Macaca mulatta: one gene and its partners. The protein of the gene in region 3 binds, or shares a complex with, the protein of the main gene of each other region. Links are inferred from orthologs where the notes say so. Each region holds a gene or a part of one and is shown on either strand. Other genes may lie near its edges. The genes, in order: NCS1, AIFM3, NMT1 and HPCA.

The links.
Region 1: the proteins of NMT1 (region 3) and NCS1 are in contact, whole or in part, in a crystal structure (PDB 5O9S), measured with the Homo sapiens proteins. The link is inferred for Macaca mulatta from reciprocal best matches to the Homo sapiens genes NMT1 and NCS1. Residues at the interface, in NP_066565.1 of Homo sapiens: Tyr180, Val181, Glu182, Asp183, Asp184, Asp185, Met187, Phe188, Arg189, Phe190, Tyr192, Asn246, Thr282, Ala283, Gly284, Arg295, Tyr296, His298, Ser300, Lys310, Phe311, Ser312, Tyr401, Leu403, Ser405, Tyr420, Gly468, Ile469, Gly470, Asp471; in NP_055101.2 of Homo sapiens: Gly2, Lys3, Ser4, Asn5, Ser6, Lys7, Leu8, Lys9.
Region 2: the proteins of NMT1 (region 3) and AIFM3 are in contact, whole or in part, in a crystal structure (PDB 6SJZ), measured with the Homo sapiens proteins. The link is inferred for Macaca mulatta from reciprocal best matches to the Homo sapiens genes NMT1 and AIFM3. Residues at the interface, in NP_066565.1 of Homo sapiens: Tyr180, Val181, Glu182, Asp183, Asp184, Asp185, Phe188, Arg189, Phe190, Asn246, Thr282, Ala283, Gly284, Tyr296, His298, Phe311, Tyr401, Ser405, Ile469, Gly470, Asp471, Asn473, Leu474, Leu495, Gln496; in NP_001373743.1 of Homo sapiens: Gly2, Cys4, Phe5, Ser6, Lys7, Pro8.
Region 4: the proteins of NMT1 (region 3) and HPCA are in contact, whole or in part, in a crystal structure (PDB 7OWM), measured with the Homo sapiens proteins. The link is inferred for Macaca mulatta from reciprocal best matches to the Homo sapiens genes NMT1 and HPCA. Residues at the interface, in NP_066565.1 of Homo sapiens: Tyr180, Val181, Glu182, Asp183, Asp184, Asp185, Met187, Phe188, Arg189, Phe190, Tyr192, Ile245, Asn246, Phe247, Thr282, Ala283, Gly284, Tyr296, His298, Ser300, Lys310, Phe311, Ser312, His313, Tyr401, Leu403, Ser405, Tyr420, Gly468, Ile469; in NP_002134.2 of Homo sapiens: Gly2, Lys3, Gln4, Asn5, Ser6, Lys7, Leu8, Arg9.

The regions. Positions count from the first base shown.
Region 1 is NC_133420.1:17,426,518-17,433,853, forward strand, and holds the start of NCS1 (neuronal calcium sensor 1), read right to left. Parts: upstream 4,779-7,336; 5' UTR 4,519-4,778; coding exon 4,455-4,518; intron 1-4,454. UniProt on the Homo sapiens protein: Neuronal calcium sensor, regulator of G protein-coupled receptor phosphorylation in a calcium dependent manner. Directly regulates GRK1 (RHOK), but not GRK2 to GRK5. Can substitute for calmodulin. Stimulates PI4KB kinase activity.
Region 2 is NC_133415.1:31,811,168-31,818,555, reverse strand, and holds the start of AIFM3 (apoptosis-inducing factor 3), read right to left. Parts: upstream 4,890-7,388; 5' UTR 4,825-4,889; coding exon 4,654-4,824; intron 2,591-4,653; exon of another isoform or gene 2,542-2,590; intron 2,118-2,541; exon of another isoform or gene 2,034-2,117; coding exon 1,863-2,033; intron 1-1,862. Other genes in the region: uncharacterized protein LOC144331927, read right to left, coding at 5,648-5,799. UniProt on the Homo sapiens protein: Induces apoptosis through a caspase dependent pathway. Reduces mitochondrial membrane potential.
Region 3 is NC_133421.1:69,472,499-69,479,311, reverse strand, and holds the end of NMT1 (glycylpeptide N-tetradecanoyltransferase 1), read right to left. Parts: intron 4,803-6,813; coding exon 4,632-4,802; intron 4,043-4,631; coding exon 3,875-4,042; intron 2,892-3,874; coding exon 2,754-2,891; intron 1,896-2,753; coding exon 1,875-1,895; 3' UTR 1,540-1,874; downstream 1-1,539.
Region 4 is NC_133406.1:207,961,043-207,968,328, reverse strand, and holds the start of HPCA (neuron-specific calcium-binding protein hippocalcin), read left to right. Parts: upstream 1-3,331; 5' UTR 3,332-3,337; coding exon 3,338-3,715; intron 3,716-7,286. UniProt on the Homo sapiens protein: Calcium-binding protein that may play a role in the regulation of voltage-dependent calcium channels. May also play a role in cyclic-nucleotide-mediated signaling through the regulation of adenylate and guanylate cyclases.

The DNA of each region.
Region 1 (7,336 bases), on a different chromosome or scaffold from region 3:
CCCAACTGCTGACCCCAACCTGGAGCCAGGGACCCATCCTCTGCTCGGGGTCAAGAGGCGTCAGCCGCGGGCTCCTGCCCTCCACAGGCTCCTGTGTGCCCGGCACCATTCTGGGCATCAGGGAAAAGGCAGAAGAGAGTCAAGGTTAACAGGCAAGGTCAAGGCAGAGCCTAGGCTGACCAAGAGGAACAGGGAGGAGCTGGCCACCCCTGAGTCCCAGACCGAGGGTCCCTGGGAAGTGCCGGCAAACATCATGGGGAGAAGGAGAAGGAGAAGGGGGGGAGGGTAGAGGTTCTGTCTCTTGGGCCTGGCTGGCTTGGGCCTGCAGCGGCCTTAGAAGTCTTTAAGGGGATGCAGCTCAGACCACCACAAATGGCTTACACCCCCATGCCCGAGTTTTCAGATAACCCAGCTGCTTTCCTCCTGAGGCCAGGGATTCTATGTCTCTCGTCCACTCCTCTGCCTCCACGCCTGGCACACAGTGAGCACTAAATCAACAGGCCAGGGCGGCTTCACAATTCACAAGTGGGGCTGGGGAGGCCGCTACATGTAAGAGCAGGCCCCTGCTGGGATTCGGGCCCAGCAGTCCTAGATGTCATCTTCTGCGTGCCAGGCACAAAAAAACAGGGTCGTAGGAAGATTCCTCTGTGGAGAGAAGAAATTTGCCCACAAAATACACATAAGCCCAGTTCAAAAGGAAGCTGTATTGTACGGTCAAAATGATATATATTAAGGCCGGGTGCAGAGGCTCAGGCCTGTGATCTCAGAACTTTGGCTGGCCAAGGCAGGAGGATTGCTTGAGGCCAAGAGTTTGAGCCAGCCCAGGCAACAGGGCAAGACCCTAACTCTACAAAAAGAAAATTTTTAATTAGCCAGGTGTGGTATAAATATCATGGCCGTGGTCCCAGCTACTGGGGAGACTGAGGCAGGAGGATTGCTTGGGCCCAGGAGGTCAAGGTTTAAGTGAGCCATGATTGCACCATTGCACTCCAGTCAGGTCAACACAGCCAGACCCTGTCTCCAAAACAACAACAAATAAGCATTAATACGATCACTGGCATTTACTGGCATTTACTGACCACATACCCCACGCCACATATCAGGTCCCACGCTGCACATGACCCCGTTGACTTCTCACATCCTCTCAGTTCAGGTACCATGAGCACATCTATTTTGCAGATGAGGAAACTGAGGCTCAGGTAGGTGAGGGGACCGGCCCATCCCACAGCCAGGACACACAGGGATGCCAACAGCCTCATCAGCAGATTGGAAGAGAGTGGGCCAGACCTCAGAGGAAGTGGGCCGCCCACAATGCTGACTGCCACTGTCTGTCTTGGCTGCAGGGTGACCCCCGTCCACCTCTCCCTAACCTATTGCTGGTGGAAGGCTGAGGATTGGGTTAGGGTTTGGGTTACGATTTGAGCCAGGTGGAATCCCAGTGTGTCCAGTGAGGGCCACACTGTTGGGGCCTTTAGACACTCCTGCTTCCTCACACACACAGACCACCACAGACAGAGTCAGAGACGCCCACCAAGGACACCGCTGAGCACCGACTCGGACGTGGACCCATGGCTCCCCTCTAGGCCCCCCGGCACTGTGGCCAGCTATGCACGAGGTGGGCTAGGACCCCCAGCATACACCAGAACTGTGGTCTTCAATCGGGGCTCCCCAGGACCACAGTTTGCAACACAAACACGCATCAAGGATGCAAATTCCTGGGCCCCAGCCAGACCCAAAGAATCGGAAATCTGGGAGGACAGCCCAGGTACCTTCATGTTTATTAATCAACCAGGAAATTCTGACATTTGAGAGTCCTTCCTGGGGCGCTTCTCTTGACCTCATACACAGAATCCCCCAGAACAAAGAGCAGATGGCTCCACTCCCCATTAGAAGGAAGCCCATCTGGGGCCGGAGAACAAGCTGGAGGCTTTCTCTGCTTGCTGTGTTGGGAGACTTTTCATTCTGTGGACCTACTAAAGCCCAACAAACGGGGAGAACACAGCTGTGAGCTCCACACACAAGGGCCTGCACCAGGGAGCTGACGTCAGCGCAGGAGGCAGACCGGAGGCCAACGAACCCACCGCCACCTCCAACAGCCCACCCCTAATAAGGGCTTCTACAGAGGAAAAGTCCCCAGGCCAACTCTCTCCCTGCCCAAAACTGTTCCACGTCTCCGAAGGCCTTTAAAAATAGCCCAGCCTAGCACCACAAGGGCCAGTTCCTAACAAAGCTTTGTTGACTCAACTTCTCTCAAAGTTGACAGATCTGCCCAGAGGAGGGGGCCGGACAGAATGATCACCCCAGGCCCTTCTCATTTAGAATCCACCATCATGGGCTTCTAACAAAAGCCAGAAAAAGACACATCCAGAAGAGCTTTTTTTTTTTTTTTTTTGGAGATGGAGGTTCCCTCTTGGAGCAATCTCGCCTCACCACAACCTCCGCCTCCCGGGTTCAAGTGATTCTCCTGCCTCAGCCTCCCGAGTAGCTGGGATTACAGGCATGCGCCACCATGCCCAGCTAATTGTGTATTTTTAGTAGAGTCAGGGGTTTCCCCTTGTTGTTCAGGCTGGTCCACCCGCCTCAGCCTCCCAAAGTGCTGGGATTACAGGCGTGAGCCACTGTGCCTGGCCCAGAAGAGCTCTTGGCATGAGCTCTGAGGTCTCTCACTAGCCTTGGAGCAGGACAGACCGGAATTTGAGTCCTGGCACTGTCTGGTCACTAGCTGTGGGATCATGGGAATGCCACTTTGCCCCTCTGAGCCTTAGTTTCCCCATCTGTAAATAGAGATCGCAGCAGCACCCAGCCTGGTAGAGCAGTTGTGGCGGAGTCGAGGTGCTAACGATGCCAAGAGCTTGGCAAGTGACATGCTCCATGAGCAGGAAACCTGGCTTCACTCCCCTGTCCCACCACGATGGAGGCATCCCATGCAGCCCATGCCCACCACTCCCGATGACGCCCACTGTGTCCTCACTCTCCCCCGGCACAGGGACCCAGGAAGTCCACCTGCTGGCAGCTGTGGGCCACATCTGGACTTAGCTTGAAGGAGGCCCCAGCGAATATCACAAAACAGCAGCCAGACTGGAATGGGCCACCCACCTGCCCACCTTGGAGAGAGGGTGACAGCAGCCCCTGTGCCCAGGGGCTTCACCCCTTCCAGGTAGCAGCTCCTGGGATGTGAGCTCCATGCTGCAGCATTCCACAGGAGAAGGGCCAGCACCTCGCAGCAGACTAGCACCCGTTCTGGAAAGCCCCCTTTGTTCCAAGCACGAGGGGTGAGGGGCATGGAGCTGAAGCGTGGGCTTGGACAGACCTGCAAACGTGCCCAGAAGACCGATGGAGTTGGGGGGAAGCGGGGAGCAGAGGTTGTGCAATGCACCACCAGGAGCTGCCTCCCCAGCCTCCATCAACACATGGGGCTGGCGGTCAAGCTGCTGCCTCCAGGGGTGGTGCAGAGGGCCTGGGCCCACGCAGCTGCCCGGGGATGGGTTCTGAATTCCAACCCAAGCCCAGAGCCACTGTCCCCTTCCAAGTCAAACACCCAGGCAGAGGTCCTTCCAGGCCCCGATGCGGAAGCCTTCCCTCTCAGCATCCCCTGGGTGGTCTGGACCCATTGCCATTAACCCCTGGTATGCCAGGGCACCTCCGGAGATGCTGCAGGGAAGGGGGAAGCCTGATATGGAGAAATTGGGGCTGCAAGGGGACTGCAGAGTTGTGAAGTTGGGCAAGTGGAGGGAGACACACTGAGACTGATCTGGAGACGTCCAGAAAGGACAGGCCCTCCTCCTCCGGGCAGCCCGCGACAGCTAATGATCACACACGGCCCAGATCGCCCGGGCTGTAGAAACCCATTTCCCGGTCTGGCAGACAGAGATGGAGCCAGGGAGAATCCAGCCTGTAAGTGCTGCAACCCACAGGGTGCCGGGGACCCTTCGCCGCCGTCACCGCTCGACAGGCGCTGTGCCAAGTCTCGCCACCCCCCACACACGAACGGGGCCAGGGAGGGGGCGACAGGCCAATCTCGCAGCAGCAGCGGCGGCGGCATCGTGATGCATGAATCACCAGCCCCGCGCACTAGTGCCAGTCGGCTCCGCGCAGCCGGGCGCCCCCTCCCGGGACCACCGCCCCGCCCTCACAACAGCCCCTGCCTGTTGGGACAGCTCTGCGGAGAGGGGGCCGCCAGGAGGCTGGGGTTGCCCCTCCGGACCTGGGGGTGGCGCCGCGCACGCCGACCGGCGCGCACTCCCCGGGCTGGGGGTGCCAGAACAATGGGGCCGGGCGGGGGGCAGGGGCGCGGCCCGGGAGCCTCCGAGAGGCCCACGGCGGAGGCCGGGCTGGGAGGACCGAGCGGAGGCGGCGGCGCGGAGCGGGTAGCGCGCGGGTCCGGGGGGCGGGGGCGGCGGGCGTGGGGGTGACCGGGAGGCGCGGGGCACGGGCCAGGGACCCGGAGCACTCACAGTAGGTCTTCCTGGTCAGCTCCTCCACAACTTCGGGCTTCAACTTGCTGTTGGATTTCCCCATCCTCGGCGGCCGCGGCCCCCGCCCCCCCGGGCCGGACCCGGTTGGGGCGCCCAGCGGGAGCGGCTGGGCCGGGCGGGCCGGGCCGGGGCCGCGCCTTTGTCTGCGGCGCCCGCGCTGCGCTGCGCGGCTGTCGGCGCCGGGGCGCTCGGGGCGTGGGGCGGCCGCTGGGCAGGCCCGGGCGGTCCGGGCGCCGCGGCGCGGGGCTGCCTGGGCTGGGCGCCGGCGCCGGCGCGGTGTGGCCGCGGTCGTCCCTGGTTACTGGGCTCCGCGGCACATGCTCGCTGCTGCCTCCCGCCAGCCGCCGCCCCTGCGCTCCCCGCCTCCCGCCTCCCGCCTCCCGCCCGCACCCGCGCGCCAGGGGTGGACCCGGAGCCGCCACTCAGCGCCCGGCGCCACCTCCCGCCCCGCACCCACCTGGCCGCGGCCTCCGCCAGCGGGACCCCGGCCCCGCCAGCCCGCCGGAGGGGCGTCCCCTCAGCTCAACGCGGCCCCAGGGAGGGGCAGCCACCCCCTCCCCGAATCCAGCCCTGGCGCTCCGGCCCCCGCCGCGGCGGGAGGGCCCGGAAGATTGGATGTGGATGAGGCCAAGTCCCGGCCCGGAGACATTCATTCATTCCACACGGATTCATGGGGTGCCGAGGACACGGCGGCCCACGGGACAGGAGCGCCTCAGCTCTCGCAGGGCGGGCAGGGCTGTGCAGGGTGCCGCAGGTAGCGGTGGGGGCACCTACTCTCGGCCTGGGGCAGGTGACCTCCAAGCCCAGGGTCAGGAAGGGAGGGGGGATGGAGAAGCGTTCTGGCCCAGGCAACCTGGAGAGGCGGGGAGGCCTGCACGCCCGAGGGACAGCTCCCCGGCTTATGGGCTTGCGCACCAATGCGGGCACAGGGGGCCTGGGAGAAGGGCAGGGCCCACGGGGCAGGCCCGGAAAGGCCCCTCGCCGAGGAGCTGGGCCCCTGCCCACCAGCGCCCATGAAGGGACTTCAGCAGAGTGATGGGTCAGAGCTGCTGGAGTGACAGGTCAGAGCTGCTCGGAGCTGTTTCTCTGAGCCAAGGCTGGAGTGACAGGCTCCACCTGAATGGACAGAGGCCCGTGGGTTAGCGTTGGGGGGTGGTCCAGAGGGTAAGTCCAGCACGGCCTTCCCGGGCCACCTCATCCAACGTATCACCACCTCTTGAGACCTCTCCCATCCTCCTTTCCAGCTTTAGTTTCTCTCCTTCGCATCCGTCACAAACGTCACCTATGTTTTCTGCCTCCTGTTTGTCTCTTCCATGGGAGAACACCCTCCCAGAGGGCAGAGGCGTCTCCATAACCTACAAGACCGCCTGAGGTGTGGTAGTTACCCAGCAAATCTCTGTGAGTGAGTGAAGGATGGAGGAAGGAATGACACGCGGTGCTGGGGCCCTGGGGTAGAGGAAAGAGCAGGGAGGATGAGGCAGCCCTCCCCCCGGGGCCAGCAGGGATGAGGCAGGAGTGGGGTCTCTTTTTCTTCTTTCTTTCCACAGTGTTCTAACCTCGGAGGGCCCGGAAAGCTCAGAGGAACCCTGAGCAGGGCCGAGTGCCTTCCAGCTCCCAAATCTCTCTCTTGCCTCTAAGCATACTCCATCCACTCCTGCTTTCTCCTGAAGCCCCTGCCCAGGCTGAGCCCTGGGCCCCAGGAAGTCTTCAGATGAGGATGGACTTGCTGGCTTGGGGAGCTCATTCTGCAGAGGAGGTGGGCACAGTTGGAGGGAACTTGTGTAGACTTGGGAGCAGAATGTCCCAACCTTGAGGACCAATTCAGAGTGGACAGCAGTGAGGGGCCCATAGTGGGCGGCTCAGAGTTGACCAGACTGTGCTGAGCATCCTGCTTGGGAGGAGGGAGAGCCAGCGCAGGGACCAGGGCCTGGCTGGATGACAGCGGTAGTAGTTAAAGCCCTACAGAAACCCAGGTGCTCAGGCTGGGTGCAGTGGCTCATGCCGGTAATCCCAGCACTTTGAGAGGCTGAGGTGGAAGGATTACTTGAGCTCAGGAGTTCAAGACCAGCCTGGGTAACATAGGGAGACCTCATCTCTACAAAAAATGTTAAATGTTAGCTGGGCTTGGTGACACATACCTAAGTCCCTGTTACTCGGGTGGCTGAGGTGGAAGGATCGCTTGAACCCAGCAGGTCCAGGCTGCAGTGAGCATCATTGTGCCACTGCATTCCAGCCTGGGTGACAGAGAGAGACCCTGACTCTCTCTCTGTCACACACACACACCTGAGAAAAGAGAACAGAGGAAGGAAGGAAGGGCCAGGCATGGTGGCTTATACCTGTAATCGCAGCACTTTGGGAGGACAAGGCAGGTGGATGGTTCGAGCTCAGGAGTTCAAGACCAGCCTGGACAACATGGCAAAACCCCGTTCCTACAAAAAATACAAAAAAAAAAAAATTAACTGTGCATGGTGGCACATGCCTGTAGTCTCAGCTACTCGGGAGGCTGAGGCAGGAGGATTGCTTGAGCCTAGGAGGTGGAGGCTGAAGGAAGCCCTGTTTGCACCATTGCACTCCACCCTAGGTGATGAGACCCTGTCTCAACACACACACACACACTCACACACACACGCATTCACACACGCACACAAAAGAAACCTGGGTGCTCATCCTGTGAGTATTTCTTGCTCACTGCCCCTGTGTCAGGTGCCGTGCTGGACACTGAGACCAACACGGGAGCTTACGGATCTGATCCGACCTGCTGCACAGTGATCACAAAATCACGCTGGCAACAAACACCGTGCAAGGAATGGAGAGGGTGGGGGAACATACATGGGAACACCTGCCAGGAAACTCAGGGACTT
Region 2 (7,388 bases), on a different chromosome or scaffold from region 3:
TGGTGAGGATGGAAAGCCTTTAGGTAGCAGTTGTGGCCTAATAAAAGGCGGGTGAACAGATGCTAAGAGAGCTGCACTTCCTCCTAGCTCTGAGCTAGGTGAGGGACTGGCCTGATATCTTCTTATCAAGAACTCAGACGGGACACGCAGGAGCACAGAGGGAACCCAGGAAGCAGGTGCTGATGCACATGGAGCCACAGAATCGAGTGGGGCAAGATAGTGAGTGATTTGCACAGAGGTCTTCTGCTTGCTGTAGTCTCTTTGTGGCCCCTTAAGACCCCAGCAGAACCCTCATGCCCCAAACGCTGTAACTCCCATATCTGGAAATTCCCTGAGCCTCATGCCTGACCTGCCCAGCATGGGCACCTGGGGCCTGAGCCTCTGGCTACGGGCCCACAGGGGAGGCCTGGCAGCACAGAGCCCAGCTCAGAGAAGGGATAACAAATAATATTCCACAAGTGTTTCTTGTGTGTCAGGCCCCCATGCTAGGCACAACAGCCCCACTTTACAATGAGGATGCAGAGGCTCAGATGCTGAAGGCCTCACAGCCGGGAAAGGGCAGGGCTGGATTTGCCTAAATTCTTAGCACTGCCTTTGGTGAGAGCGGCCACCCCCCACACTGGGCCACGGGTCCCAGGCAGGCCAGCCCTTTGGGGTCCTTTAAAAGAACCTGCAGGTGGCATCTTCTGCCAGGGCCTCCTGCCAGCCCAGCAGTGCCACAGACGCCTGGTATGAGGCCAGCTGGCATCATCCCACCCACTTCTAGGGGGAGACAATGGACATCATCTGCCCAAGGCACATTTTGAGGCAGGGAGGGATCCAGCCCAGGCCTGGGTGTCCACAGCACAGGAGTTGGGGGAGGAAGAGTGGCTCCCTGGAGCAGAGGCAGGTGGGTCCCTCTGTCTGGTGAGTCACTACAGTTCTCCTCTCTCCCCTAAGTTCCCCCTTAGACCCAGGAAAGGGAGAAAAGGCTCACAAGTTCCAAGGTAACGGAGCCGATGGGTATCAGGTAAGGGGAGCTGGGGTGAGCTGGCTGGGGCAGGGTGGCCTGGCGGGGTGAGTGGAGCACTGGCTGGGCTCTTGAGGTCTCTCTAAGCCTAATTTTCTCCATCTGTGACAGAGCTGCACACTCCTGCCTCCCTGGGTGTTGTGAGGAGAGAAGAGGGAAAGTGGGGGGCCAGAGGGAGAGCTCTGCAGACATGAGTCTTTAGTGGAGAAAAGACGCAGGCCTCTCCCAGCACCCCAGGACACTATCACTTCTGGCCAGAGTAGCTCAGGCTAGGTTGGGTGGTGATTTCCTGTATAAATGGGGAAGTGTGCCCAGAAAGGCCAAGAAGGCAGCCCGAGACCACACAGGGGATCAGAGGAGGCGAAGAGAGCCAGGATCTGCTCACTACACCCTCACAGCAACTCTAAGAGGTCAGAGTGGCCAGGCCCTCTCTTTTGCAGAGAGAAAAACAGAGGCTCAGAGGGGTAACTTGCATGCCCTAGGTCATAGAGTGGCTGAGGTTGTCTCCAGTCCCCCCACTTCCCTGGCCCTGGGGGCATAGCCCCTTCCCCAACCCTGCAACAGGAGGAACCAGCTTTTCCTTTTCCAAGAAGGGTCCTGCTCTTATTCCCACCACCAACACTCAAAGCCCCAAAGAAAAAGGGGCACCCAGTGGAGGAGGGGCCAGCTGGGGAACTGCTCCAGGCCCCCTACCCCCTCCTGGCTGCAGCGTATTAACATTCCGAGCAGGCTCCTGCCTAGCCTGACCTACTTCGGAGGCTTGCCGAGTGCAGAGGGGGAGGGCGGGGGGAAGAGGGGGGAGGAAGAGGTGGGGAGGGAGGAGGAAGGATGGAGGCAAGAAGACAGGAGGTACCTGGTTTGGGCTTGGAGAAACAGCCACCCATGGCGAGTGGCCTGAAGATGGCCGGCAGGCAGGAGCACAGATGGGGAGCTGTCGGAGGCCTAGGGCGCCCCCCATGGGGCTGGACCCCCTGAAGGCCTTAGAGATGCTGGAGATGCCATCCTGCTGGAGCTGCTCTAGGACCTGCAGGGGAGACTGGGGCCGTCATGACCGGGGCGTGTGGGCAGAGGTAGAGACACACAGAGAGAGAGAGAGAGATGGTGGGAGCTTCAGAGAGTCTTACATTTGAGTTGGGAACCATGGCGTGTAGGTGAGCCTGATCCCAGAGCGTGGGGCCCTGGAGGACACCTCCCCTTTGAAGCCCTCCAAGCTCAGCTCTCTCACTCCTCCAGTGGAGTTCCTCGCCCCAACCTCGGCCACCCTTGGTCCAGCCCCACAGCTGCCTTGCCCAAGAAATCCTCCCTGATTTCTGCTGCCTCCTCATGCCCCCCTTCCCCTCTCCAAATCCCACAGCCTGAGAGTTCTTGGACCCTCCATTGTACCGGGAGACCACCATGCCTAAGCGTAAAGAGTGGGTCACCTTGGGCAAGCCAAAGCCCTCCTCATCCTTGGTCTTCTCCCTCCTACAATGCGGGTGTCATCAGGCTCCCTCTAGCCCAGCCCTACCCTGGCTAGTACTCTGGACACCCACCTCCTCTCAGGGCAGCCACTGCTCCGTGTTCCAGGCCCAGCAGTGGACTGAGGCTGCCGGGCCTTGGAAGGCCGGGCAGGGAGGGCAGGGGTCCAGGAGGCGGCCCAGCCTCCACCCTCCTCCCAGCTCAAGCTGTGGCCAGGAGGGGCTGGGGGGTGGTGTGGGGCTGGGCCAGTCCACTGGTCCCCAGGGAAACCCAGCTCTGTGGTGAACAGAAGTGGGCGGCCAGCCTGGCCCTGATGGGGTTAGGGGAAAGAGAAGCCGGGCACACAGCCCTGCCATGCCTGTGCCCAGCAGCCATAAGCTCCCCCTACCCCCGACTCCAGCCCTTCGCAAATGCCCACTAGGCCTGTGGTGCTGGGGTCTTGCCCAACAGCAGATGGGGAAAGCAAGGGGCCAAGGTCTCATCAAGGTCAAGCAGCAGGGGTATCCCTGTGGCCTCCTACCCCACCCTCCCACCTCCATCAGTTTTAAGATGGGCAGGGGCCCAGAAAGCCCCCATATCACCCTAAGGCCCTGCAAGGTGCCCTGGGGGAGGGACACCTGCACAGCAGAGAGCTCACTGTAGCCCAGGTGCCTTCCAGGCTACAGGGCAGGCCTTCTGGAAGATGCAGCCTACAGGTAGGACTTTGGAAGGCCCAGGGCACAGGCATAGCTGCCTTGTTTGCAAATGACCTCCCCACAGTCCATCCCACTGTCATCCTCCGGTTTCCTCTGGAACTTCTTCCTGAAGTCTCACTTGAGGTGGGGCTAAGGCCCACCTGGTCTGGCCCAGATCCCAGAAGGGCTGTGCGTGGGTGCCTGAGAGCGAGGGGTGCAAACAAAAGCCCAGGTTGGAGAGAGACCATTGGTGCCTGGCCCCTGCACCTGTCGGCCCTCAAGGTGCCCATTACAGGGGAGGAGCCGGTGACTCCCACAGCCACTGGGGTGTGCCTTGGCTCTTTCCCCCACTTGTCACCAAGGAAGGTCTGTAAAACTCAACAGCCACCTGCCCCACCTGCCCCCTCCCTGGGCACTAGGCAGCCCCTCCCCGGGTCCTGGCTTCAGCCCTAGCTCAGCCCTGCCCACTTCCTTCCTGGCTGACCTCAGGCCTCACCTGCTAGGCCACAGATCCCAGAAAAGGTCAGACCTGGTCTTGCCACTGGGGACCTGCCCAGGCTGTGCTGTCCCTTCCGGAGCACCCAGGGCCCTGAATCCCCCAGGGCCTGGGCCAGGAAGAAGACTGGGTGGGGCCCCTGTGCCTTCGGCCTACTGTGTGCTAGATCGGCTTGGAGCCCAGTCACCCCACTCAAAGGCAAAGGTCCTTGCTAGGGGCAGGGCAGTAGGGCCCCCCAGGTTTGTGCAGAATGCCAGAGTGCTGTTCCTTGCCCATGAGCTGCCCACTGCAGAAAAGTTCTAGCACAGTCCAGTGCTAACTGGACTCTGCAGGAGTCTGTCTGTCCCAGGGACCCCAGGACCTGTGAAGCGGGACTGGATTACCCCCATCTCACTGAGCGGCCACTGCTCCACCTGACCCTCCCGGGGTTCCTGGCGCCCGCCCCGTGTGCAGGCTGGGCAGGGTCCTCTCCCCACTCCTCCACCTCTTGCCCACCCGCCCCCACTGCCTCATCCCAAGGGCTCCTGCCCAGATCGGGCTCCCAGTGGCTTCCAGGCGTCCTAGGGGTGGCATCTGATTCCAGTCCTGCCTTGGAGTGTGGGGGCTCCGCGCTCTCCCCTCCCCCACGGAGCTCAGGCGCAAGCCTCTGTCCACTCTCCTCGCCTCTGCACGTGCAGTTCCCTCGCTCTGGGAAGCCGGTGGCCGGTGCCAGCAGCCTCGCCGGCTCCATCCCGGTGCCCCGCCAGACCTTGCAGCCCGGGAAGGGGGATTGGCACACAGTGGGAAGCCGCGGCGAGCAGGGAAGGGGCGGTTGTGGGACGAGAGAAGGACGAGGTGTGCTCTGGCCCCCGGGCAGTGCCTGTAGCCACGCTTGCCGACCCCCAACCCCTAACGTGCCGGGCCCGGGTCCGAGACCTGCGAGCACAAGCGCTGGCCCCCGGCGCCGGGGCGAAGAGGCAGGGCGGCGGGCGGGGACCGGGGTTCCGGGGACCGGGGTCCCCGGGGCGGGCGCTCACCTGGGCTCGGCGCGGGCCTGGACTCGGGAACCGCTTGGGGCCGCGGGCGCGGGGGGGCGGGGAGGCGCGGGCGGGGCGGGGCTGGCGCTGCGGCTGCACTGCGGCCGGGGAGCCCGCGGCGCCCAGCACCGCCCCGCCGGGCCGGAGCAGGTGGTGGGCGGTGGGGGACATAGAGCAGGCCGAGGCCCTCGGCGTCCGGACCGGAGTCGCGGAGCGTGGGGAGGCAGCCGGGGGCCGCTCTGGCAGGGGGCGCCCCGGACCCGGGTCTGGGTCTCCGGGGATCCTCGCGACCTCCCAGGGATGCCCAGCTGGGGCGCGGGCAGGGTCTGCTTCTTTTTTACTTTTCTTTCTTTCCAAAGTCTCAGAACCACTGTGGGCGGGGTGGGGGAACTTGAATCACTCTGAGAAACCTCCACAAGAAAGAAAACCCCAATCAGGCCGGGCGCGGTGGCTCAAGCCTGTAATCCCAGTACTTTGGGAGGCCGAGACGGGCGGATCACGAGGTCAGGAGATCGAGACCATCCTGGCTAACACGGTGAAACCCCGTCTCTATTAAGAAATACAAAAAAAAACTAGCCGGGCGAGGTGGCGGGCGCCTGTAGTCCCAGCTACTCGGGAGGCTGAGGCTGGAGAATGGCGTGAACCTGGGAGGCGGAGCTTGCAGTGAGCTGAGATCCGGCCACTGCACTCCAGCCTGGGTGACAGAGCAAGACTCCGTCTCAAGAAAAAAAAAAAGAAAAAAAGAAAACCCCAATCAAACCTTACTGCCCACAGCTCCCTTCACTGGGTGGGGGAGTTCAGGTTCACCTGTGTCCTAGGTTCCTCCCGGCCCTCTCTCCACACGTACCAGGGTCTATTTTCAATTATATTTTATTACATTTTTCTTTTTCTCACCTGTCATTTACCAGAACTCCTTGGGTCTCCAGAAATCACAGTGCATCCTGGTGTTGTGCCTCCTCCTCCAGGAAGCCCTCCCTGACCAGCCTCCCCTCTATTAGGGCTGATTATTCTGGTTCCTAACACTTGGGTGTTTCATTGTCTTTAATGTGTGGATCTCTGCATTTGTAGGTAGACTTTGTCCTTCCAGCAGGCTAGAGCACAGAGGCTGTGTGGGTTCCTCCCCTGTCTGGGCCTTACTCTCCTCTCCTGTAAGGAGGACAATAATGACAGCAGTAATAGTCCCCTGTGCCAGGCCCAGCCGGTCTTCCCAGGCCATCCTCTGGGACTATTTGTGCCCCACCCCACTAGGGGGCAAGTTCGAGCCCCCCAACCCCACCACCCTCCTACAATTTTACAGATAGGGAACGCAGCCCAGGAAGTCTTGGTCTTGCTCAGGGTCAGGAACAGGCCCTGCATGGGTCACACTGGGAGCAGGTGGTGGGGTGCCCAGGCCCGAAGGGCACATGTGGCTCAGTTCAGGAAAGTCCTCTCAGCTCATGTGTCGCTTCCACAGTGGGACCGTTGCCACTGCCATAGGAGAGTCCCATCACTGGGCAGATGGCAGTGCTTGGGCCTGGTGCCCTCCATCTCCAACCAGCCTGCCCCCATTTCATGCACGTGGTGATCTGGCTGCCCCACCCCCCACCCACCCTCAGAATCTCCTGCAGCCAGGAAGACAGTGTGCCTCATAATAACTACGGCTGTGATTTTGCATGCATTTATTTCCTTACCCATCACAACAGCCTGAGAAGGAAGGTTCTCTTTGTATTATCTCCATTTCACAAGCAGAGAAACTGAGGTCCGGTGAGGTTAGGGACTCTCCAGGGCCACACAGCTGCTAAGTGGCAGAGCAGCCCTGGGCAGGCTGGCCTCCCAGGTGGAGGGTTGGAAGCAGGAGGGGAGAGGCCTACCAGGCTCATGCAAGGCCGCAGGGCCTCCAGTGCACAATTCAAGTCTTATTCTGTGACCGTGGCAATCAGTGAGTGGACCCCTCTGCTCCAGCCTCCCCAGGATCCCGGGGGTAACTGAAATACTCTCCCAGACTGCTGCCAGGACACCATGACAGGTGCAGAACCAGTCACAGGGGGTGCTCGGGAAGTGGGGTCGGGGCTGCTGAGTTTGGGGTGCCAGAGAGAAAGCTGGGGAAACAGGTCAGTGTGGGGGTTGAGGAGGCCAGCAACCTGGGGAGATACCCTGACACAAGGCAAGTGCAGGCCTGACCTGGGGCAAGTCCATTGTGACTCTCTTGGCCCCAGGCACTGTGCTTGAGGTTCCTGCTGCCTCATGCTGGGGCAGAAATCACAAGATCTTCATAGGGCAAAAGCTAAAACCAATGGCAGGCTAGAAGTGCTGCCTCTCGAAGGGCCGTAAGGCTTAGGGGAGATGTGTGTGGACCAGGGGCCCCAGGAAGACCCAGCAGGGCTCTGAGCCCCTGGCAGCCTGAGGTCCTGATCTTGCCCCAAGGATGGTTCTGGAAAGGCGATAATATTCCAGCAGCTTTGACAGTACCAAATGGGGCACATGGCTGCAGTGAGATGACCTAGAGCAGCTGGGAGGTCCCTCAGGCCCATTAGACACCCCAAAGGCAGGAGGAGATAGCCAAGGTTAGAGAAGCAGTGAGTGTGGGGAGGATAATTCCACAGCCTGGGAGAGAGGTAGATCCCTAGGCACCCCCAGCCCTGGAGCATCCCACCACACAGCAAGCTTGTCCCTCTCCTCCTTACATTTATCCTCTACTGTCAGATTCTCCTATTCCCCACTCCCCTCACCCTAGAGTCTCCAAGCAGGGTGTGCAG
Region 3 (6,813 bases):
TGCAGTGCGCATCTTGCTAAGAACAGCAGCTTCTTTGGTCTCGGTTTCTTGGAGTCAAGGAGTCAACGTCAGTCACGATTGCTGGGGCCTACAGTTTGCAGCACAGGAACAATGGGAAAAGGGAGGCCCCTGCAGGCCTCTGACGAAAATCCACCTTAGTGAAGTTGCTGGCTCTAGCAGCAATCTGCAGAGCGGGCAGCATTCCCACAGGTGGCACGGCCCCCATCCCAAGCATACGACGTCTTCTGGTTTTGGCAACTCTGCAGAATTAGCCTCTGACAAACCACACCAAAACCCACAACCTGAAACAAGCCCCTGCTGGCCTGCAGAGTGTGGCTTCGGTGAGTGGCACAGGGCTCAGCCTGGCCTCCTGGCTAAGGCTTCATTCCCGTATGAGTGGAGAGGTGACGGCAGCAAGGAAGCCCCACACGCCACACGTCATGCTACCTCCTCCCCACCACTTGCTTCTCTCTAGAGCAAAAATCACATCCAAGCCTGGAAGTGGGTTCCTGACAATTCCACAGCCCAATTCTGCCCAGGCCGCGTGGCTGAACACCACTCAAGAATGCCTACATCGACAGACATGCGGCCAGAGGCTTGATTATTTTTTGGGAAACTGGCAGCATCAACAACCATCACTACCATAAAAATCCACAAAACAGCATCAGCAAAAGTCAGACTCAGACAATGGTGATGGGAAACCATTTCTGTTGCCAAGTCCAGATCTGCCTCTAATCACCACTTCTTGCTGCCACTTGCAGGCTGTATCTTGGAAAGGGGCACAACAAGAAATGGCTAATGGGTTGGAAGGCACAGGCCAGGGGCTGGTGGCTGAAGGGGTCTGGGTATTGGCCCCATGCCACTCCTGCCCAGCCACCCTGGGGACATCAGGGTGCTGGCTCTTTGCTCTAAGATGAGCTAAGCAGGGCTTACACTGATATGGTCTCCAAAGGTCCCTGATGCTACAAGGAGGTCCAAGGGCCTCTTCAAACTGCCAGTCATCCCAGGCAGTGGAAAAGCAAAATCTCACAGGGGACTCATCCCTATAAGGTTGGCAACAGCTGGCTAAAGAGCCCTTTTGAATCAGTTGGCAGGATGACTTCCTATAGGGAGCAGGTCAAGGGGATGGAAGAAGGGACTCGATCAATGAGGTCTGCTGCTGCGGACCGTCCCATTGCTGTGTCTCAAAATGCAGGCAGGTCTGGCCCTGCAGGAAAGTCCCTGCCCAGCGTCAGCCCCAGCCAAGAGCTCCATGTGCCATCCAGTGAGATCTGAGCCTGTTCCACCTTCCCTTCCTTCTCAAAGCCAGTCATCCCAGCTGATTCAGAAGGGGAGCTGGATGCGGTTCTCCAGATCCTCTTTTTCCCCAAGATAAGTCAATGTCTCCTCTGGAGGAAACCATGACTGTGCCAACGCGTCTGTCTGCCACTGTCCTCGGGTCCTCATTCTGAGGAATGATCTGGATTCAGCTTTTCATTAAAGACCAAACATCCTTGCACATTTGGAACATGAAAGATATTTAAAATATTTATATATATATAATATATATATATACTTTTATTATTCACCCGTTAACTCCATTATATGCCAATCACGAGCTAGTTTTCAGCAGTTACATTCCCTTGATCACGGCTGCATGAAGATGTAATTAACTGGAAAACACGGAGACCAGAGACACGACCGGAGGTGACGTCACGCAGCCCACGCCATCGCAATACAATTGTCAAGTTCGCTGGCGGTTTGGTAAAGCCGGTTCAGTTCTGCTCCCTTTGCCAGGGATTCTCACGTGTGTGAAAATTGGACCAACAGTGGTGGGGTTCCATTTCCTGGTTCGAATTTTCAGTGGCTTTATCCAGAATCTCAGTGGTGACTGGTTATTGTAACACCAGTCCAACCTAGGAGAGCCAACAGGGAGAGGCAGAGCTGAGTCGACAGTGGTCCAAAGACTCTCCCACACCCCCCATCCCCGAAGTTCCGACTGGCTGGGCCCGGGGTCCACCGCTTGTGCTGTGGGAGCAGACTCACACCCAGCTGGCCCCGTGCTCAACCTCCACACCAGGGTTCACATGTCCATCAGACCTCCCAGGGAAAACTGGTCCACGCTCCAGCTCACCCCCATGTCCCCTGTGGCGCTGGGGGAGGAAGGGCTAAGAAAGTGTCATGCCAGGAAGAGGGCAGCAGCTCGGGAGAGGAAACCTCCTCAGAGACCCCGCAGCCCTACCCTCCTGGCAAACTGTGGGCAACTCAACTTCCACGGTTCCCTCAGGTGGGAAGGCCTTCCTGCTCCTGTGTGGCTCTGTCCCCTCTGCCATCCTCACACCAGTTGCTGAGAGGGGAACGCTGACCTGCTGGTCTGGCCAGCAGAGGGCAGAGGGAGGGCATTTTCTTTTCTTTCTTTCTTTTTTTTTTTTTTTTTCAGACGGAGTCTCGCTCTGTCGCCCAGGCTGGAGTGAAGTGGCGCGATCTCGGCTCACTGCAAGCTCCGCCTCCCGGGTTAACGCCATTCTCCTGCCTCAGCCTCCCGAGTAGCTGGGACTACAGGTGCCTGCCACCACGCCTGGCTAATTTTTTTTTGTAGTAGAGAAGGGGTTTCACAGTGTTAGCCAGGATGGGAGGGAGGGCATTTTCAAAGGCTCAACTCCAGGTAACAAGGACCCAGACTGCAGCTGTCTCCCCAACCCATGGCCCGGTTTCTGCTGGAGACACTGATTCCCTGGGTTGGGCAGCCTGGACTCTGGCTGCATGGTGCCCACCTTCTCTGCCCCCATGCTGGGGCATTTCCAATTGTAAAGGTAATACTGCAGGTTGCCGTCCCCTATGCCAAACTTGAGCTTCTCCAGGAAGGTTTTGTTCTCCATGAGATCCAGTGCATTGAACACATCAAACCCTTTCTGCAAAGCAGCAGGGAGAAACAAGAACAGGTGAGGACAGGTGGGGATGGCCTCCTTCCTAACCCTTTGCTGCCATTTCAAAGCTGTCCTGTGGGCAGCCACAAGAACAAGGTTCCCTCAGAAGCTCTGCTGCTTCTGCATTACTCCCCGCTCTCCAGGCGGTTCTCAGGACACTCTGGACGCCCCCTCCAGCCTGGCCTCTGCCCAGTCTCCCTCTGAGTATACACATAGGTACTCAGTGTCCAGACTGGGGCTCTTGCTATTCCTGGTTATGCCTCCCTGAAACTCTAGTCATTTCCACAGTCCTCTCTGGAGTCCAAGCCCTGAGCCCCTTCCTCTGAGAAGCTGGCTCCCATCAGCTACCTGGGGTTTGTGTTGCTTCCTTACTCCATGTATACTCCAACTCTCAGGCCCTCAGTGCACCTCATGTTATGTGACACCTGCTGTGTCGCTTGGAGACTGTGAAGATGCTTCCTAAACCTCACCAACTGGAGCAGAAGCTCTCACAGGGCAGGGACCAGCTTGCCCACAGCAGGCTGGGCTGGGTGCAGGAGGTCACCAGAAGCCACAGCGAAGCACTGACCGACGGGCTCTCCAGCCGCTGCTGGCAGTCAGACACTCCGATGACTCACCACGACAGAGAGAATCACCCCTTTCCCACGCTGGGAAAGCTGTGAGGAGAACCCGTGTCCTCCCAGGGCAGGCCTGGCTATTCAGGCTCCTTGGTGGTGCCTCCTGTGAGAATGAAACTCACTGAAATGAATCAGGAGGAGTTCAATGCCTTCACTTCGGATGCTCCTTGCTCCTTCCGAGTTTTGAGTTTCTGGCTAAAAACTGCAGGAACCCTGCCTAAGCAGAACAGGAGGTGAGGAGGACTCGGAGCCTCCCAGCCCATGGGAGGCTGCGTCCCGGGAGCTGTGCTCACCATGGCTCCACTGCCCCTTCCCCGCACATCTCCAGAGAGCCCCTGGTCTGCTCCTCACCATTTTGGCGAGGACAAGGGCGTCGCTCATGAGGTCTAGAAGAGGGGTCTGGGTGTGAACATTGTAGAAAGAATAAGCAGCTTTGAGACTCTTGTGGGTTGGATGGTTCATGATGGTGGAGGGCAGCGTATAAAAGCTCAGGAAATCCGTCACCTCTCCGTTTGAGTTCTGAAGGGAAGGCAATAAAGAGGCAATGTCAAGCATGTACAGTGGCACTGTGGCCCAGGAACAAAATGTTTTCTTTTGCTCTGCCTTCAGGCAGCTCTGCCCCTCTAGATAAACAGGTGGAAACTGCAACAGGACATGTGGGGAGGAGGAGGGATGTTGGCTCAGGGCACTTGAGGACAGAGCCGTGATCGTAGACTGAAACTGCCAAACCTCTTTCCCAGCAGGGGCACCACCAGGGACCTCTTCTTGCAGTTCACATCCCCCCTAGACTGTGTCTCCTACGTCTGGTCAGCACTGGGTTAAGTTGGGACAGGCAGGGAATTGCAGGCTTTCCTGAAGGATTAAGGGGGGCTCAGTTCTCTCTATTCTGTGTTATCAAAGTGGGGCAGAGGGGGAGAAGGGCTCAAGCCAGATCCAAAGATATCTTTTCAGCAAATTCAAGCACCAACTCCTTGTTTTTAGGGAGGACCAAACACGGATGGTCAAGGAAGTCTAGGGTGCCAACACTCAAGCCCTGGGAACCCGGCCACTCAGGGGGATGCCTCTCTGGGAACGCATTAGAGGCCTGGAACACCACTCCCTGACTCACCTCCACCACGAAAGTGTCGATGATATTCTCCTGGGGGTAGAACCAGTGCTCCACCTCCTCCTGGCTCATGACGGGCGTAAGGTGAAATTGCTTCAAGTACCTGGTGAGGAGCTGGTGCACTACTGGAATGTCCTTTGTTTCCATTGGTCGCAGCCCAGCTGTCTTGGGAGTCTGGAAGCAAGACAGAAGAGATGGAGTGAGATGAGCTGATCACCCTGGGTCTATCCATGGTGAGGATAGATCAGGCCCTCAAGAGAGAATCCCTGGTCATTTGGAGGCTCCCTGCACCCCCGTGCATCTCTCCTCAGGCACAGGGCCTGCCTCTTCCATATCTTCTGGCCCTTTCCCTCCTAGTCCAGGAGGACTCAGGCTGCTGCATCAATCAATCATCCACATGGCCCCAGACTGACTTCCTAAGAAAACACAACCCTTCATGCTCCACCCTTGTTTCAAACTCCCCGCCCCAGAGCACAAGACTTTCTACCCTTGGGCCAGGGTGGCCTTTCTAGCTGTACCTTCTGCCCATGCAGCCCAGCGGTCCTCACAGGCTTCTTTCTTACTGAACTGTGACTGATGCCATCCCATACTCACTGCTCGCTCTCTGCTAGACTTAGAGCACTTCACAGACCCCAGGGCCTAGCCAGGGTCTGCCCGCCCAGACACTGTTACACCAGTACTTCCCAGAGAGCCATGGCTGCAAGTTAAATGCAGAAGAAAAGCAGCATACTCCCAGGATTTCATCCCCAGTCAGCGTCCCACCTGGCAGCTGCTTTTGCTAGAAAAATGCTTCAGTGGAATGAAACCATATGATGCTGTGGTGCAAATACCGGGCTGGTAGAACATCCCCAGAGGCTCAGATACACAAAGGTGGGCTTGGGGCAATCTGCAAACAGGGTGGTGTCACAGTTTACAGGCCTCAGTCAGTGCCTGACACAATGCTTCCCAGTGCAAGAACTGCTTTTAAAACTTCAGTTCTAGAACCTCCAGCCTCTAAAATTCCTTGCTAAATCCTCGTCTCTCTAGGGAACACTCACTGACCTCATTCTACATGGCAGCTCCCATAATGATACCTCAAATCCTGGACTGAAAACACAGCCATGCTGGGGTTTCCACCCCGATATGGGTGAGGCAGTCTTCTGGCTGCCGCAGCACTCTAAGAATGCTCTCTGCCCGCCTGCCCACCGGCCTAGAACGCAGGGCAGATTTGTCATGAGAACAGAAGGCAGAAGACACATACCACAGTCCCCCAAACCTGTGCTTTTGGCAGTGTCTGACGGTACTGCAGCAGCCTCTCAAGATGGGACACTAATGACCTCAATCCGTTGGTGGATTAGCCTGATTTCAGAGTGATCAATCCTGTTTAGAGGCTGAGAAGTCCAGGCAGGCAGCCCTCACGTCAGCAGGAACTCAGTAACTGTGTGGACTGATGGCCAACCAGAAGCACTTCGAGGAAAAAGAAGGGATTTTCCTCTTTTTTTTTTTTTTTGAGACGGAGTCTTGCTCTGTCGCTGGGCTGGAGTGCAGTGGTGCGATCTCGGCTCACTGCAACCTCTGCCTCCCAGGTTCAAGTGATTCTCCTGCCTCAGCCTCTCAAGTAGCTGGGACTACAGGCACGTACCACACCCAGCTAATTTTTGTTTTTAGTAGAGACAGGGTTTCACCATGTTGGCAGTGAATCTCTTGACCTCATGATCTGCCCGCCTCAGCCTCCCAAAGTACTGGGATTCCAGGCGTGAGCCACCGCCCGGCCGGAGAAGGGATTTTAAGAATCCCTACTGGGATGGGCAAGGTGGCTCACACCTGGAATCCCAGCACTTTGAGAGGCTGGAGGTAGGTGGATCACTTGAGCCCAGGAGTTCAGATGAGCCTGGGCAATATGGCAAAACCCTGTTTCTTTGTTTTCTTTTGTTTTGAGATGGAATCCCGCTCTGTCGCCTAGGCTGGAGTGCAGTGGTGCGTTCTCGGCTCACTACAAGCTCCACCACCTCGGTTCATGCCATTCTCCTGCCTCAGCCTCCTGAGTAGCTGGGACTACAGGCGCCTGCCACCCCATGACCGGCTAATTTTTTGTATTTTTACTAGAGATGGAGTTTCACCGTGTTAGCCAGGATGGTCTCGCTCTCCTGACCTTGTGATCTGCCCACCTCAGCATCCCAAAGTGCTGGGATTACAGGCGTGAGCC
Region 4 (7,286 bases), on a different chromosome or scaffold from region 3:
GGGGACAATAAGGACCAACCTCTAGAAATGGAAAAAGGACAAAATCTCAGTCCAGCATGCGGAGATTGTTGCTGAGGCTGGGGGCAGGAGGAGCTGGGCTGGGGGTCATCGACTCTGGAGAGGAGCTGTGCGCTCGGCAGGCAGTGGGCAGGTGCCACAGGATCCCCAGGCAGAAGATGTTCTGCTCTCCTGTCATGGCCTGCACAGTCAGAGGCTGGGGAGGGAGGAAGGGAGGGGGTTTCCTTGATTGGAGGGGGGAGTGGGAGGAGCAGCTGATACCAAAGTTGGGAGGTGGGATTAATTCTGAGAGGGGGTCGGGGTGAGGTCTGGAGTCGTCCAAGGTGGAGGTGGGGAAGGGGGCGTGTCTGACCCCCTACCCCGTGTCTGGGGGCGTGTCTGGCCCTCCACCCCGAAGACCTCAGTAGCTGGAGGAATGGGCGCTCCACCCTTCCCGAAGAGCTCCCAGCTCCGTTAGTTGAGAGTTGAGGCGCAGGAGCGGGGAGGGTGCCCAGGGTGCCGATTCGGCCCTCGAAGCGACGTGCGGCTCAGAGCCCAGGTGGGCATCGGGAAGGAAGCGGGGGCGGAGTGGCCGGGGATCGCCCCCGGCTCAGTAGAGAGGCCTCTTGGCACTACCCTGTCCCTCCATTCCGGCCACCAGAGCTGAGGTGCCGAGGAGAGGGGCGCCGTGGTCCTCCTCCCCGGGTAGGCTGCTCCCTCGAGGGGGGCCGGGGAACCGAGGGCGTCCCCTTCTCTCTCCGGGGCGGGGGTGGCGGAGCCTAGCGCGCCGCTCCCCCACCCCCAGGGCTGGCGGGGACCCCCCTCAGGGGAGGGGCTCCGGGTGAGCGCTGCGGGGCGTCTCCCTCGCAGTCCCGCCCGCCCCTCCGGCCGCCCCTGCCGCGCGCGCCGCAGCAGCGCCGCCTTCCCTGCGCAGTCGGTGTCTCCGCGTCGCTGGGTGAGTGGGGGCAGCTCCAGCCGGGGCCAGGGGATGAGGGCAGGGGGTTCCCGGAGCCGGGGGCCCACGTCCAGGGCTTCCCAACACCGCCGCTCCCGGGCTTCCCGGGAATCCTTGTCCCGGGGTGGCGGGGGGCGCAGGGGACCGGGGAGCGCGTGGTGCTCTCCAGGGTCCTGAACGCCGAGTGGCCAGCCCCGAGGAGCCGCGTTCGACCGCCCGGGAGCGCCCCCTCCAGGAGGGGCCACGCGCCGGGCGCTGTCCTAGTGCTGAGCGGATGGAGGCGGGGGCTGGGGGCCAGAGCTGAGGGAGGTTTGGAGCTGGTCCCCGGGGCTGGCTTCTCAGGTCGAGCTGAGGGGGGTCTTCCCATATGGGAGACTTGAGGTCTTTGCGGACAGCTGAATCTTCTTCCAACCGGGGGGGGGCAACTCCGAGAGTGGCAGGGCGGAGGGGGCACTGGAGGAGCTCTCCTGCTCTGCGCATCTCTCTGCCCCCACCCCGGTGACCCAGTTCCTTGGACCTTGAGGAGGGCAGTGAGGGACATGCCCCAGCCCTTCTCATTTCCTCAGCCCTTTCCCACTCGCTTGTCTGGTGGGTCCTTAGCCTGGGCCATAGAGGCTGGTCTAGAAAGGAGGGGGACCAACTTACAGAAACATGCATGTGACACACCGCCTAGGACACACACAGGTCCTCCAAATGACCACACGGGCTCATTCCCTCACGCTGTGACGGGTGCATACCTGATCACATGCACATCTGAGGCACATGCAGGGACATAGATGGAAAGACACGGCAGGCGAATGCAATACAAAAACCAGCGGCACACATTATGCATGAGCATATGCACTCATAACACACCCATTCACATGTGTGCAGAGCTTCATGCACATGTATGCACAAATAATCCCCTCCTTGCCCCAAGTGGGTGGGGGTCACCTGCACACACCCCTACATTCCTGTGCAGAACTGGCTGGCTGTTTCCTCTTCATTGCCTTCTACTCAGTCTCCACAATCTAACCTGCACTCAGGGGGCCTTTCAGGACTAGATGAAAGGTAAGTGTTGGGGAGGCTTGGATGGGCTTGGGGGGGGTCTCCTTGGAAAAGGGGCCCCCAGCAGGTCTGGGAAGGTTTGCAGTTCCCTCTCCTGGGACCTGGCAGCACCCCTGGGAAAACTGAAGGAAAACAAAGAAAAATGGCAAGGGTGCCTGAAGGTCCCACGTGCAGCTGGCCATGTGAGAGGTGTCGGCATGCGAGTTGGCGTGTGATGGCATGTGTGAGACATGTGGGGTCGTGGGCTGGTGTGTCTTGATGCACAGGGTATGGGAGTTGTGCGTGGTGCCATGTGTCGATTCGTGTGAGTTGCGGAGCAGAGGGAATGTCGTCATGTGTGGAGGCATGCTGACCCATGGGTGGGCGTGGGCTGGTACGTGAGTGGCATGGGATCCAGGGTGTGGATCTGGTGAGCTATGAAGCATATAGTTATCGGTATATGTTTGTTTGCACAGTTTTTGCATGAGTTTTGTGGCACCTGGGTATATGTAAGTCATTTTTATTTATTTAACACTTATCTAGCACTTATCTGTGCAGCCATGGTTCTAAGTGCTTCCCACTTATTAACTAATTTAATCCCCACAACTATCCTCTTAGGTAAGTACTGTTATTACCCCACTTTAAAGATGAGGCAGAGAGAGTTTAAGGAACTTGCCCAAGGTCACGTAGCTGGTAAGAGGAGGAGCTGGGATTCAAACCTAGGTGATCTGACTCTGGAGCCCACAGTAACACCTCCCTCTGCTGCCTCTTGTTGGGCACACCTGTCAGAGGGAGAACAGGGCAGTGTCTGGGCTGCGGATATGTTTTGTGCTGAACAGGCACATATGAGGCAATGAGAAGGCAGTGGGTAGGACGGAGGAGGATCAGAAGGTTTTTCTGCACCTCTGTGGGCAACTCTAGGAGTCAGCCTCATCATGCCATGGCTGTGTGACCTGAAGCAGCCACCTCACATCTGTAAGTCTGCCTTCTCATCTGTAAAATGGGGAAAGTCCCCGTACCACCTGTCGTGAGGGTGAAATGGTGTGCATTTGTGAAGGCTTAGTGGCTGGCACCGAGAAGGGCCTCAGTAAATGTGAACCCCCCCTTCCCTTCCTCCCTCTCCCAGGAAAGTGTATGATCCAGGGAGATGGTGTGGAGCATGGCACAGATACAGGATGCCTGGGTCTAGACTGTGTGACCTTGGGCCAGTTCCTCTCTTTCCCTGGGTCAAACGAGAGGTGGGGATGGCTGTCGGCAGGGGGAGCCATCTGGAGCAGTGTCTAGTATCCAGGAGGGCCTGATCACTCCTCTCTGCCCTTGACCCCCTTGGGGACCCAGGTGGGACTTGGCTCGGCGGCCATGGGCAAGCAGAACAGCAAGCTGCGGCCCGAGATGTTGCAGGACCTGCGGGAGAACACGGAGTTCTCAGAGCTGGAGCTGCAGGAGTGGTACAAGGGCTTCCTCAAGGACTGCCCCACAGGAATCCTCAACGTGGACGAGTTCAAGAAGATCTACGCCAACTTCTTTCCCTATGGTGACGCCTCCAAGTTTGCCGAGCACGTCTTCCGCACCTTTGACACCAACAGCGATGGCACCATAGACTTTCGGGAGTTCATCATTGCGCTGAGCGTGACCTCACGCGGCCGCCTGGAGCAGAAGCTCATGTGGGCCTTCAGCATGTATGACCTGGACGGCAATGGCTACATCAGCCGGGAGGAGATGCTGGAGATCGTGCAGGTGGGCCCCTGGGCCCCTCAGAATGCCAGGCACAGGGCCCGGCAGCTTGCACCCACCACCCCTTTTGATCCTCTCAGCAGGCCTTGTAGGCAAGTGGTGGCAGGGGCTATTCTTGCAATCCCATTTAAAAAATTGTTTATTAGAAAATATTTCCCATTTAAAGAAAAGTTGAGAAAACTCCCCTATACCCTCTACCCAGATTCGCCAATTAACATTTTGCCACAGTTGCTTCATCATTATCTGTGTGCGTGTGCATGTGTGCACACTAGTGTGTAACATTTCTTGTTGTTCTGAACATTGGCCCTTTACCCCGGATACATTAGGATATATTTCCTAAAAATAAGGACATTCTCTTACATAACCCATAATATGATTACCAAAGCCAGGATATTTAACATAGAAACAATGCTATTATCTAATCTACCAACCATATTCCAATTTTGCCAACTGTCTCCATAATGTTCTTTATAGCATTTTTGGCCCTGACCTGGGGTCATGCATTGCATCTAGTTCTCATGTCTCTTTAGCCCCCTTTAATCTGGAACAGCTCCTCATCCTTTCTTTATGAGTTGACATTTCTGCAGAGCACAGTCCAGTTATGTCTAATTGATCTTCATTTACACCAAAGGAAACAGATGCTCAGAGAGATAAAGGCACTTGCTTGAGGCCACACAGCCTGTGTGAGAGGGCCATCTGGCACTACTGTCCACATTCCATCTGGATACCCAGCTATCTTCTAATTGATTGAGGGCCCACTATGAGCTTAGCATTGAGTGAGGTGCTTATGAGCTCAGTGCATGCTTACAACAACCCCATGAGGCTCGGAGAGGTGAAGTGATATACCCAAAGTCACCCAGCAAATAAGTGGAGACAAGCTCTGGCTGGCCACTACTCAGAGCTGTCTACTGAGAGGGCTCTGGACTCATAGCCAGGAGGTCTAGCTTCCAATTCTGGACGTGGCCTTCACTCTTAGGCTGCTCATCTGTATGGTGATACTGACTTCACAAGGACATTTAAGGACCAGATATAAAAGCCCTTTGTTAGTACAAGTTTAAGTGTGCTACATGTTAGCTTTATTTCAGAAACCTCCCAGAGCACCCATCCCCTCAGACCAGCCTTGAAGATGGCCAGGGCTCTGGTTCTATTTTACCAGTCCACTTCCTTGCCTGCCTTTTTCCTAAGCCTTTATGGGTTTTTTCACCTGTAAAGTGCGGGTGTTAAGCCCCTGCCTCACAAGGCTATTGCAGGGATAGAGTGAGATAAGGACTCGAGCGGAGGGCTTGGCATATAATTGGTACTTGGTAGACATTAGCAATTGTCTGTTATTATTTTCTCCTCTGTACATCCTCTGCTCTAGCCAGAAGGGCCTTTTCAGCATCTTTGAAATGTGCCCTGACTAATCCTGTCACGCAGCTTTGCACAAGCTCTAGCCCCCTTTCCTTCTGCATCTCTGAATCCTTTCCCTTCTGGTTCCTCAGCTCCATAGACTGCTGCCCCAGCCACTGCTGGACTCTTGACTTTGGCTTCTCCTTTTGCTAAGGTCTGGGCCTGCTCTCTAGGTGGAGATGTGATGCCCTCCCCATACCTATGGCTAGAAGGGGGAAAGCCTTAATGTTTGCCATGGACTCCTGTGGGTCAGACATTTGACTCTTTAGTTGCTCGATGGTAGGGGGATCTGGGGGTTCTGAGGGTAGGGTCAGGTGGCCAGGATGGTGAAGGATCACCCAGACATGGACAGCAGCTGGGTATTGACCAATCTGGAGGGACATTTGCATTTTACCACTTAGTGTGTTGCACTGGTATGTACTGGTAAACCCCAGTCCTGCTGGAGTACCATGCCCAGGGCATCAGTCAAGCTAGACCCATTCCCTGGGCATCCTCAGGACCCCTTTCTGGTGGCTTCTGCTATCCAGGCCCTGGCTTCTTTTCTGGCGGCCCAGTGGCCCCAGATGGTTGGTACCCACAGAGCTCTGCAAGCCCCAGTACCTGATTAATGACAAGTCGGCTCCCATGAAACCATGAGTGAGCAGCAATTCCAGACAATTAGTTAGCAGGCCCAGGAGAAGGCTGTCACAGAGGTAGTGGTCACTGGCCCAGTTCTTCTCAAGACACAGCCCTGTGCCAGCTAGTGGACACACTGGAGAGGAAGAGACTGCGCCTCTTGGGGCTCCCACTCTGGTGGGGGAGACAGATGTGTAGGTCACACTGACAAGCTCAGTGACAGGGGTTTAAAGGTGTCATCTGGGAGCCAGAGGACTGAGTGGCAGGGAAGACTTGAGGATGTAGAGGATGAATAATGACTGTAATATAAGCTATTTACTGACCACCCACTCTAGCCAGCCACAGTTCCTCACACATAATCTCATTTAATCTGAGGAAACTGAGGCTAACAGAAAAGTATGTGTCCAAGGCTACATAGTTAGTGAGTAGTGGAACCAGGACGCCACTCCAGGTCCATCTAACTTTAGAAGCTTGAAACTACCAGACCCCTCTATTCATGTGCTCATCAGACAGGTACTGATATCCGGTCACAACTGTGGCTACCATTCATTGAGCAGTTACTACAGACTGGGTCTAATGCTACAGGCCCTGCTGACTGTCACCACCCCACACTGCCCAAGCATCCCTCCAGCAGCTAAGAGGGAACAGGTACAAATTGAGTCTCCGCCATCAATTTCCTTTCTGAGCCACAGTTTCTTATCTGGAAAACAGGGATCATGATACCTGTTTTTCAGGGCTTGTGCGAGGTTTAGAAATAGTGCGTGTAAAGTGCCTGGCACAGAGCAGGTCTCTGATAAGTGGTAGTTAGTATTGTTATTCCAGGCAAAGACTGTAAATGCTGCAGAATCTGAAGGGTCAGGGGTGTTTGGCTCTTGGCAGGATCACCCAGCCAGGGGAGGCCTGATGGAGGAGGGTCAGCAGTGGACAGATTGTAAAGCATCTTAAATCCCAAAGGCCAAATGGTTTGAACTTGGAACAGAGGGCAGTGGGAAATGCCAATGGCTTTTAAATAGGGAAGTCCCTGCCTGGTGCCAGGTTCTGGGGATATGGACATTAGCTAGACGTCCACGTTTGCAGGAACATCCCTGCAAAGACATAATTTCTTCTGGAGAGATGTTTGCAAAGGAAAAGTCCACCGGGCTCTGGGCCCATATGCACCCTGACCTAGCCTGGGTTGGAGAAGACCTCGCTAAGAAAACAGCTTGTAAACTGAGTCCCAAGGAGGAGTGGGAGGCAGCAGAAGGAGCTGGGTGCAAGGCGAGCCTAAGGGGAGCCCTGTGTGTGACGGGAGTGAGGGGGTGGTGTGCGGGCTGGGGACGTAACAGTGGAGATCTGTGTTTGGAAAGAGCTTTCAGAGGCAGCATAGGGGACAGACCCGAGGGACAGGCTGGAAGAGACCAGTGCGGAGGCTGAAGCTGGATCTGAGACAGCAGAAGTTTATGGGATGGGAGAAGGGAGGCTTCTTGGAGGAAGTGTCGGTCGGGTAAAGCTGGAAGATTGGGGAGACAGGTTCGGTCCTTGAGCTCCGGGGCACTGTGACCCAGGCTACAGGCCAAGCCCTACGTGCGTG